Linked DNA regions of Drosophila melanogaster. The protein of the gene in region 2 purifies or fractionates together with the protein of the main gene of each other region. This does not show direct contact. Each region holds a gene or a part of one and is shown on either strand. Other genes may lie near its edges.

What was found. The genes of interacting proteins can lie anywhere in the genome.
Region 1: the proteins of hay (region 2) and mrn purify together in Drosophila melanogaster (affinity purification with western blotting, with the first as the bait; one study listed by BioGRID). This does not show direct contact.

Annotation. Positions count from the first base shown.
Region 1 is NT_037436.4:15,578,015-15,582,976, forward strand, and holds mrn (marionette), read right to left. Parts: upstream 2,524-4,962; 5' UTR 2,493-2,523; coding exon 2,194-2,492; intron 2,139-2,193; coding exon 938-2,138; 3' UTR 755-937; downstream 1-754. Other genes in the region: Ufsp2 (UFM1 specific peptidase 2), read left to right, coding at 1-532; CG12301 (uncharacterized protein), read left to right, coding at 2,876-3,280, 3,340-4,962.
Region 2 is NT_037436.4:10,628,334-10,634,469, reverse strand, and holds hay (haywire), read right to left. Parts: upstream 3,392-6,136; 5' UTR 3,295-3,391; coding exon of another isoform or gene 3,275-3,294; intron 3,129-3,274; exon of another isoform or gene 3,105-3,128; 5' UTR 3,063-3,104; coding exon 3,011-3,062; intron 2,951-3,010; coding exon 1,152-2,950; intron 1,095-1,151; coding exon 549-1,094; 3' UTR 501-548; downstream 1-500. Other genes in the region: CG34001 (uncharacterized protein), read right to left, coding at 1-203, 272-395, 3,275-3,294; CG42535 (uncharacterized protein), read left to right, coding at 3,579-3,767, 3,829-3,912, 3,970-4,117, 4,175-4,255, 4,309-4,370; CG42536 (uncharacterized protein), read left to right, coding at 4,474-4,605, 4,669-4,752, 4,811-4,958, 5,012-5,110, 5,161-5,252; CG14151 (uncharacterized protein), read left to right, coding at 6,017-6,130. UniProt on the Drosophila melanogaster protein: ATP-dependent 3'-5' DNA helicase/translocase; binds dsDNA rather than ssDNA, unzipping it in a translocase rather than classical helicase activity. Component of the general transcription and DNA repair factor IIH (TFIIH) core complex.

The DNA of each region.
Region 1 (4,962 bases), 4.9 Mb from region 2:
GCAGGTGCAGGACAAGGGATGGGGATGCGCATATCGCTCGCTGCAGACGATCTGCTCCTGGTTTGTGCTGCAGGGTTATACGAACGCACCGATTCCGACGCATCTGGAGGTGCAGGAATACCTTCACAAGATCAACGACAAACCTGCTGCATTCGTGGGTTCTTCTCAGTGGATTGGTTCCACAGAAATCAGCATGTGTCTGCAGGGATTCCTTAACGTGGACTCAAAAATTCTGCACGTAGCCTCTGGAGCTGAGCTGGCGACTATTGCCTCCGAGCTGGCGATGCATTTCCAAACGCAAGGTACACCGGTAATGATTGGTGGCGGTGTTCTGGCCCACACCATTATCGGGGTGGACTACTGCGTGCAGACGGGTCAGGTGAAGTTCCTCATCTTGGATCCCCATTATACAGGTGCCGATGATTTGGCCACCATTCAAATTAAAGGTTGGTGCGGCTGGAAGGGCATGGACTTTTGGGCCAAGGGCAGCTACTACAATCTCTGCATGCCCCAGCGTCCCATTTTGTATTAGGTTGAGCTAGTTTCTTTTCCACTCGCATTTAGGTAGGCGAGGATGTTTCGATATGCTTTCTTTAGGTATAACGTATAGGACATTCTAAATTTTCTATTTTATTGGGTAAATAAAATTATTTTGTATGCATTTGTTAGTTGTCTCTTCACTGTTTTTTACGTTTAGCAATATTACATGTCGACCCATCCTAAAGGACAATCTAGGAAAAGCTTTGGTGGTTTTCTGTTTTTATGTGTATGATACTTGTGTATTTTAATTTTATTCCACTTGTATGTTGAATGTCGATGATAAATGTGTAATCCCACACTCCCTTATTAAACCATATTTTAAAATTTTAGCTTGTAACAAAATGGGCACAGATGTTACTTCTAAAATAACTTCCCAATAATTGGTCGTAATACCGGGCTAAACACCACTCTTAGAGTACTTCTTCCAGTAACGCTTGACATCGTCGTGGCCATTCTTTTGCACCACCATTGTGCGAGTTCGCTCATTTTGCCACACCAGCATGTGGATCGACTGGGCGTAGTCTCGTAGCGTTACGAAATCTGTATGCGAGAGGAACTGATTGTACAGCACGCCTTCGGTGTAGGTGAAGCGATTTCGCTCTAATTCCCACAGCTTAATTTGATCAACGACTGTGGGTGGCAGGCAGGATTTAGAGTGAATGGCTGACTCGACCATGCGCATATTGGGATGCGCATACTGCTCCAGATACGAGACAATCTGCTCTGCCGTGATACCGCCACGCAACGCCTGGCGCACTGAATCGCGGGTTAGCACGCCCACGACGAGATTGGGAAAGCGGTAGAGAAGCTCCGTGAACAGACCTAACACGGCTACCTGGAGCGGAGAATCAGTGTAGGCATACACTCGGTAGTTCGTCTCCACCACAATGTAGCCACAGTCCTGAGTGGCCTCCTCATCCATGGCCACAGATGCAGTCGCAGCCGCCTCCTTGCTTGTCACATTCAGAGCCAAACGTGTGGGATAGAAGCGTCCCTCCTTACGCTTACGTTGGAAGACCAGTCCAAACTCCCGTAGATGCTGCAGGAATGTCAGCATCTGACTGTTCATGCCCTCGGAACTGTAATCCCTGCCCAGCGTTGAAAAACTGAGCTGGAACAACATGGACAAGCATTCCGGCAGGCTGATTCCTCTTTCTTCGCACGTGTCCAGGTACTGTAGCATAAAATGCCACACCTGAGCTCGCGTGTCCAGCAGCAGGAACTGAAAGCCCTGCCGGGTTATTGTGATACCGTCTCGTTCATCACGTTTCATGAGATTGGCGTGCAGCAGAATCCGAACGGCGTCCGGACTAATGGCCTCCGCATCGGTGCCATTGCGATTTCCGGTGCCGACCATGTAGTGCAACACGCAACGCCAGCGGGACATGGCGTATGTATCCAGAAAAGCAATGTCCCTGGGCTTCGAGTCCTTATCCAGCGTGTTGGTCATAGGCCAAGGTTTTCCGCCGCCCAGCAGCACCTGGCGTACGCTTTTCTTGAAGGTGGGCGAGAGCTCCCACGCAGAAAGGCCACCCGGAATGGCTGTGACCCGCCAGACGTTCAAAGCCGTCAGGCAGCTGGTTGCCTCGGCTTGCTCCCTGCAAAAGTAATGCATTGCAATGATATTGTTTATCCAATTGGATACAGTCATACTTGGCACAACGTTGGGCACCCCATGATGTGACCACCGCTTGTGGCACAGGCTGATCCACGAACAGTATCCTTATGATAAACTGCCGGGCTATCTCTGGAAGCTCCCGAAAAACGGCCAAACAAATGGGCGGATAGTTGTACAGCTTCTCCAGCGACTCTGGCGTTTGGCGGGTGCGCAGATACTCCTGAAAGTCCTTACACTCCAAGTTCGCAGGACCCTGCCCCAAGGGCGACAGGACGGCGTTTCCACTTCCCCCGGCAGCCGAATGCCGACCACTACCGGATTTCGTGTCGGCCATGACGATTCGAATGTCGAATTCGTAAACAAAATATTTTCATCCCGTTGTCATCGATAGCCGGTCTTTCGTGGGGGGACAATCGATAGTAATCATCAAGGGCGTTACGAAGGGGGTTTTCGCTGAGTTAAAAGTACATTTATTGTTAAAAAAAAATCAATTGATTTTTGATGCATAGATATATGTATTGAGTAGTAAATGTTATTATATTTAAGTTAATTTTTAAAAGAAGGCAGCTCCATTTTCCACACTCATGCTATCGAGCACAGGTAGAAATTGTGATGGGCCGCAAAACTTATCGATAACTCTTCAGCTGTTATTCTGCACACGTGCTGCGCGAAGTATTTTTGTATTGTTATTTGATTTTAAATATTTTCCTGACAAAAATGAGTGACGACGAGGAGCACTACGAACCAAAGGCACACAAGAAGCTGCTGCAGGCCATCGGCAGTCTGGGCAAGGTGCAGCACATCCAGAAGTCCACGCGCGACGAGCGGCAGTCGCTCCAGGATGAGTTCCAGCTGGTAAAAGGTGTTTCGTCAGCGGAAACGGATCATGCCCCCAGAGCCGTGGGTCTGAACGATCTGGTAGACATCCTACGCACCTCCACCAAGCACAGTCAGACGGGCAAGAAGCTCAAGAACATCCATGGCAGCAAAAAGGTGCTACAGAAGCCGCTGGAGAAACCAGCTGCGGATCGAATTAAACGGACCATTGGCTACGAGGGAGTTACCAAGAAACTCGGTCGTTGGGATGCTGTGGTGGCTCAACAGAGATCTGCGGAGACGCAGGTGAATGAATGCCAATGCTAACAGTGACATACACATATAATCTCCAAAACTTATTACAGATCTTCCCCCTACCATCTGAAACGGTTTACGTAAATACTGCGGCAAATGCCAGGCCTCTAAACACCCGGGTCAAGTCCAATCTTGCTCAAGAACTCGAGGCTAACAACCGTAAACTACGGGAACTGCGCAAAGCGCAAATTGGGGATACCACGGATGAAAAGGAGCTGGCCAAGCAAGAGCGGCTTTTACTACAAAAGAAGCTTACCAGGGACGAACTATTTGCCCGTCGCAAGGAGCTAGCTTACCTGAAGATGCGCGAGTCTCAAAAGTCAGCAAAGGCGCGCATGCAAAACAAAATCAAATCGAAAAAGTTCCACAAGCTGCAGAAGAGACAAAAAATGTTGGAGCAGATGAAGGAGTTCGAGTTGCTGCAGAAAACCGATCCAGAGGCGGCGCTGGAAAAGCTTAATGCCCTGGAAAAGAGTCGAGTGCAGGAGCGTGCCAGCCTGCGGCACAAGAACACCGGTACTTGGGCGAAGAATCTGCAGATACGGGCCAAGTACGACAAGGATGTGCGAAAGGATCTGGCCGAGCAGTTGGCTGTTAGCAGGGAACTGACCCAGAAAAAGCAGGTGTCAGACAGCGAAGATGAAACCACCAAGAAGAGAGTTTTACCCGAGGAGGAGGATAATGACTACGATCCCTTTAATCCTTGGACAAAAAGAAAAGCTACAGAGCAAACGGAAAATGGAAATGGTGAAAGTGAGGGTTCCAATTGGCGGCAATATTGGACAAAAAGGAATAAAAACGAAAAGTTACTGGAGGAGCATCGTAGGGATTTGGAAGGAGTCCAGGATAATGACGAGCAGGAGGAGAAAGAAACTATTCGGAAACCATTAATAGAAGTAAAACCTGCTAAGAAGAAACTTAAGAAATCGAAAGTTAAGATAGAAAATGGCTGGGAGGTGGAAGATATTTGCCCAACTGATCAGAAAGAAGCCAAGGCAAGCCCGAATTCAAAAGCCATTGATGACATTTTTGAGAAACACGAGGATCATATCAGAGCCAAACTAAATAAGAAAATGGAGAAATTGAGGGAACGGATAAACAAACTTAAAGAAGTTCCTGTCAAGGGAAAGAAGGCGAAAAAGAAGGACGTCTTGCAAAACCTAAAAAGTCTGGCTTTAAAAAAGACAAAGCAACAGATAGAGATTGACGAGCCCCTTAACTACGAGGAGGATAAAAATTCACAGAATAATATCCCTGCCCACGTTGAAGGTAACACAGAAAGCACGGAAATTCCAGCTGTGGATACCATAGATCCCAACAAGGTGACAACTTTGGTGTTTACCCAAAAGAAGGGCAACTCGGGAGGCTTTAACGATGCTCTAATAGACGATGAAGCAGCTGAATACGACGAGGAAGACGCCGCTGCTGAACGCCAGTTGACAATCAGTCAAGCCTTCGAGGATGATGACATTGTAGCTGATTTTAATCGGGACAAAAGCAAGGACTCCGAGCTTAAGAACACTGAGCTTCAGCTCGCCCTGCCTGGATGGGGTTCCTGGGCGGGTGCTGGCATTTCGAAGGAGGTAATGGAGCGACGAAACAAGCGGCTTCTTCTTAAGTTGGCTGCTCCGGAAAAGCGTCGTGACGAGAATAAGGATAATCTTTACCTCAAC
Region 2 (6,136 bases):
CTCTTGTGCTCCTGGGCGATCGTATGATCCAGCACTGTGCGCTCCGCTCCCGTGGTGGCGTTCAGCATACTGACATCCTGCGAGGCCATGCTCGTTTCTAGGAGTCGTTCTCCCTCATTGGTCTTGGACTTTTCCAGCACCGCAAATGGTTTATCCAACTTTTGTTCACGTCCCTGAAGAATGTGATGTCCAATGATGAGAATCTTATGATATAAGTAAAATCAGATTGTTTAAGAGCTGGTTAAATTATAACTTTACAATTACAACTCACAGGTTGGCCATATTTATTGTAGTAGAGATCGCCAATAAACTGGCCGTGCATATCCTGGTTGCTCCGCACCTCCAGGTCGCCTTGCAGCTCTATAATGGCCCAATCGCCTTTGCCAGCGTTTTGTCTAAAATAAAATCATGGGTTTGGGTTACTTCAGTGGTAAAGGTGCACTTAAAAGTGAATAATACAATATTGTAAGCCCAGTTTCCACGGAAAGTTTCTAAAGTTTGTTCAGAATTTTATTCATGCTTCACAGTGGTTTGTGCTTTTCTTAGGTCTATCCTCTGAATTTTTTGAAGAGCGGATGCACGCTGCCAATGTTCTTTTTACGATGTTCGTAGTAGATGGCATCATCTCCGCCAGACATGGAGCTCAGTCCGCCGACACGTCTGACGGCGCCGCCCGAGCCACTGGGACGGTAGCCCGGCTCGCCCGGCAGCTTCTCATCCTCGCAGTCCAAATCGGAAGCGGATAGGACCAACTGCAGCAGTTGTCCCTGCTCCTCCTGTGTGCCGTACATCAAATCCGAGTCCGTGTCCATGCCCTTGAGATGCGTGATAACCTTGTAGCTATAGCCCTGGTTGACCAAGAACCGCTGTCGCTTGCGGGAGTAGCTCATCTCCATGGTATCCTGCGAGACGAGTGTATAGAAGAAGGCGTTGTATTCCTCGGCAATGGCACCCTTCTTAGCACGCAGAATACGACCCAGACGCTGGGCCTCCTGACGACGAGAGCCGCCATGCGAAGAGATCTGGATAAGCACATTAGCCTCGGGCAAATCGAAACTGGTGTCTGCCACTTTGGACACGAAGATTGTATTAACCTGAAATAGGTATTGTTAAATAAATGTTCCCAAAATTCTTGAACAGTTGGCACTCACCTTGGAGTTAAACTTAAAGTTCTGGAGGATCTGGATACGTTCGTTCTGCGAGGTGGGACCATAGATGAAAGGCTTGTTCATCTTGATCGCATAGTGTTTTAGCGCAAACACATTATCTGAGAAGACGATTGTTTTGTCGCCTCGTTGCTCGTGATATTTAATAAGAAACTGGCAGCTGCGGAACTTGGAGGGATTCATCACATAGAGCAACATCTTTTTGGAGGTCTTGGTGGTCAGGTACTCGCGATAGAACTCCGGTGACATGGGACACCACACCTCGGCGCACTGCACGCGTGCAATATATCCCTTCTTTTGCAGCTCTAACCAGTTGGCCTCGTACAGTTTGGGTCCAATGAGGAAGTTGAGATCGGCAATCTTGTCATCTTCACGCAGTAGTGTGGCCGTCAATCCCAGCTTGCAATGAGATTGAACGATGGTCAGCACGCGACGGAACATTTTGGCTGGGATGGTGTGCACCTCGTCCAGCACCATGATGCCCCATTCCTGCTCCTGCAGCCAACGCATGGTCTGCTCTGCTTCCCATGATCTCTTCTGCGTGTGCGTTATCATAGAGTATGTGGTCACAAGAATTCCACAGCCCATGGGTTTGTCTTTTGCTTCAGAGGTGAATCTACAAATCATGCTGTCATCAGCTGTGGACCACATCTTAAACTGCTGCTTCCACTGCTCCACAGAAACACCACTGTTGCACAGAACTAGTGCCCTCTTTCGTACGGTGCAGCATGCTGTGACACCCACTAGGGATTTTCCTGCACCACAAGGAAGCACAATAACACCAGAGCGGGCTCTTCCATTGCCAAACATCTTGCGCAGACTCTTCTCCTGATATGGACGCAGAACGGCAGCGGGTTTGAGGTCAATATTAATGTCTGGATTGTTGGTATCGTTGCGGAAATCGTACTCCGCCAATAGAGGATGCTCTATCTCGATGCATCGTTTCTGAATCACTTCGATCTTCTCCTGGGCCACCTCAAACGACACGGTCTTCAGATTGGCCTCATCCTCGTCCTCCTCCTCTTTGTCGATCTTCTCGTAGAAGTCTGTGATATCTTCTGGCACTGCTGTGGTTCCATCAGCTCCTGCGGCTGCTGCAGGATCTGGTGTCGGCTTGTCCGTGGCTCCTGGCGGCAGTTTGGTCCCGAATTGAGTAATAGCCTTGCCGTCCAGGGTTCCCTGAATGAAATCCTCTCCCTCGCTGCGTATGAGGCGGCATTTCTGGATCACTGGATCCTTAAGTAACTTTTGCAGCACCTCAGGATGTGGTGACTCGATAAAGTACTTGTTATGCTTCAAGACCAGCTTGACCTTGCCATAGGATAGGGTGCAGAGTCGTATAAACTCAAGGATGCCTTCGGGAATGCTGGTCTTGCTCAATCTCTTCAAGTATTCCACAATGTCATGGGTTTGCAGTCCCACCGAAACGGCGGCATATAAACTGTATGCGGTAAGTTTGTACTCGTGAATGTGTTCGGGTCGGCAGACGGGCTCCGAAATGGCGATAAGAAAATCGTGGGCATGCTTATAGACGGGCGAGAATGATTCCAGGAAGACGTGACCATTGGGCGCAACCCAAAGTGGTCGATTTCCGTGATCCGGACGCAGTTGCATCTGCGACCGGTAATCCTTGGCGCCGTACTCATCCGTATTGATTTGCTCGTCATTGGTCTCCGCATTCTTGGACGCTGCACCCGGAATTCCTTCCGATTCTGTGGCATCCAAACTATCATTGTCGTCCACCAGTTGGGTGAAAGCCTCATCCTCGGCACGCCGCTTTTTGCCTGGGAATAGTTCTTAAATTACACCGAAGCTCATTGGTTTTCCATGTGCCCCACACTCACCGAACTTGTCACCACCGCTGCGATCCTTTCTCGATTTTTTCGGCGGTCCCATTTAAATAAAACACAAGCAAAAATTTCACAACAAATCCGAGAGCTCAAGAAATTAAACAAAGATATCGACGGAATTCGATAAATTTCAGTCAACTAAAGTAACACAGCACGTATGGCAACGTCGGCAGTTGAGTGCCTCGTAGAATGCTGTTTGTTTTCACATGTTTTTACCCTATGTAAATCGTTACTTTCACTGCATTTTAAGCTACTTACGTTTTTACTACAATGGGCATCCTGTTTTTGTATTTTGAAATGCAAATAGTTGGTAAATCACGTATAAACACAGACGAGCGCCTAAAGCCGCTTTCGTCTCTTTTGCAACACTGATTTATCGGTGGTCGATAACTATGAAGTACCACCTTGCCACCCTGCGTGGCGTCAGCTGTGTACGGTTTTAGAATCACTGGATATTCAAACTGAAATTCAAAAAATTTTTATCCACTGATTTCTCTATGCAATCCCACTTGCCTTGATCTAATGATCATTGGATGTGGAAAATTAACCTTGTGCCTTCACAATGGGCACCGAAAAGAAAAAACACCCGCCAAAAAAGAAGTCACAGGAGAAAAAAAAGAGCGGTCATAGCAAGTCGAAGCAGAATTCTTTGAATTCCAATCTGCCCAAGATATGTTTCGTCATAGCAATTTTCGATCTGCTGCATGCGTTATATTTTACAGTTCAAGCAATGATTCTTCTGGTTAAACAGGTAGCTATTGTTTAATTAAAACACAAAATTCTTAATAATCATTAAATTAAACCAATAATAGTTCAGCGCGTTTGCTATGTTGGCGCTTTTGGGTGTCATTTTTTGGGTTATAATGGTCATCCTGTTGATGGTTGGCCTTTATAAGGTGAGTTTGAATTTATTTATTTAGTGGTATTAATTCCTAAAATTATAAACACATTAGCGCAAGCCAGTTTTCGTAAGGTATTGGCTTATATTTTCCATAGTCGGCTTTATAACCGATATTCTATTTCTACTTTGGGGCATTGCGACCTCAATAACTGTGGACTGGGACCGTCTTAATGAGTTTTCAATAATTTTCCTTGGAATATGTAAGTGATATTTAAATTTAAAATCAAATACAATTCTAATGTTAAGTATAATTTTAGTTGTTGAAAGCGCCTGCATATATTTCATACATCGGTACTATCAGATTATGGATGAATCGAAAAAGAAGAGGACCCTATGTTGTAAGATAGCTTTAAACTAATATTACATTTTACTACTAATCGATTTTATATAGGTGGCGGAAAAAACGAAAAGAAAAAGTCTAAAAGCCCAAAAAAGAAGAAAGGCAAAAAATAAGATCTTTCAACTTTAGTTGGCTTTGTATTTCCGTACTAAAAAAATATATATTTATTAGATTGTTTCAAACATTTGTGTATCGAATAAATTTATTTCTTACAAAATGTCTATTGAATCGGGAGAGCTAAAGTTGCCTACGGATAATCTCCTAAGGACATGCTTTGTTATTGGCGCTTTTGAACTGGTGCGTTCATTGTATTTTTCATTTAGTTCAGTTTCACTCATGGTCTTGCACGTAAGTATTGTATTTGAAAAGAACGTTCTTTAACATTTTTAGCCATTTATTGTTTTGCATTAGACGAATTGGTATACCATAATGGCCTTTCTAAGTACAATAGCTTGGATTGCGACCGTTGGTGGACTGTTTGTTGGTTTATTGACAGTAAGAATTAAAAAAATTTACCAACTATATACATATTTAACTGTTTCGTATTAATTAGAGTCGACCAACTCTGCTCGTATTTTGGTTACTGTTCACTGCCTTTGCAACTGCTACGGATATTATTTATTTAATATGGAATGTTACTTCATCTCCTATTTTCGACGCAGAACATTTAAAGCGCTGGACCATTTCATATTTGGGAATCTGTATGTTTTTAATTTAATAGCATTCTTAGACATTGAATTATAAATCTTTGCAGTTTACGAGGTCACTTGCTTATACTTGGTATTCAGATACTTTAGGAGATTATATTCCTACGTCCTTTTGGAGGGTGATAATTATGATACGACTACTAAAGGTGAATAGCTTAAGCACAGATTTATACGATATACTATACATAAATTTCAGATAGAAAAACAGAAGATTACAGAGATAATGAGACTCAAACCCAATCTCCAAGTTCAAAATACAGGACTTCTGGAAGATCTTCTAAAGGATAAAATGCCAGTTTGGACAAAAACAGCAAAAAGCTTGATTAATAATGATCATTTATGTTCGTTTCATTATGTTCAATGTCCACACACGGTTCAAAATCCCTTTGGAGTTACTAAAATAAATTAAAAATGGTTTTCTTCATGTGTTATTTGGATTTCTATTTACGGGAAATCAATTCCCGACCCCCCATAAGCAATGATAATAATTGACTTATACAGTTTTCCATCTATTTTCCGATGCCTGCGAGGACGATAGGTGGTCACGTTGCCATCGAGGGACCAGGAAAAAGGACAATTCAATCTCCAGGACCTGCTGACAAAACAAATGCCATAAATGAGGAACGAAGTTCGCCAGCAAAAAGCAGTTCACATTGGTTTAGAATGTTTTGGGAATACACTTGGCAGCTATTTTTAGAGCTCAGTATTTGAATGAAGAGATTATAAATGCATGTAATTTAGATGTATAAATTAAAACGGAAATTACAAAAAAATTCATGAAACTAAATATAATTCGCAGGAACATTGAACTTGGCATATATTGAAAACTTCTGTAGTGTATTGTACTTTTGGCCACTGAGTCTCCCTACATTCCCACGCTTGAATACCACTGTGCTGTGTCCATGAATGTTGGCAATCAAACGGCTTTGATTAACAGGCCGCCAAGACCCGAGTAACCCCCTTCTCCAATCGCCAAGTACGTGCTTATCATCATTATAGCTTTGATTTAGTAGACAACATTGCCAGTGATGTGATGAATCTTAGCCTGGGCGATGGGGTCAAATTCTGATGGATATTTAGTGCCCTGTGCCTATTGCATCGCCTTGCTGGACTTCATATCCGCCCTGCTATTCGCAATTATCTCAGGAGTGGTATTTGCCAGGCATGTAAGA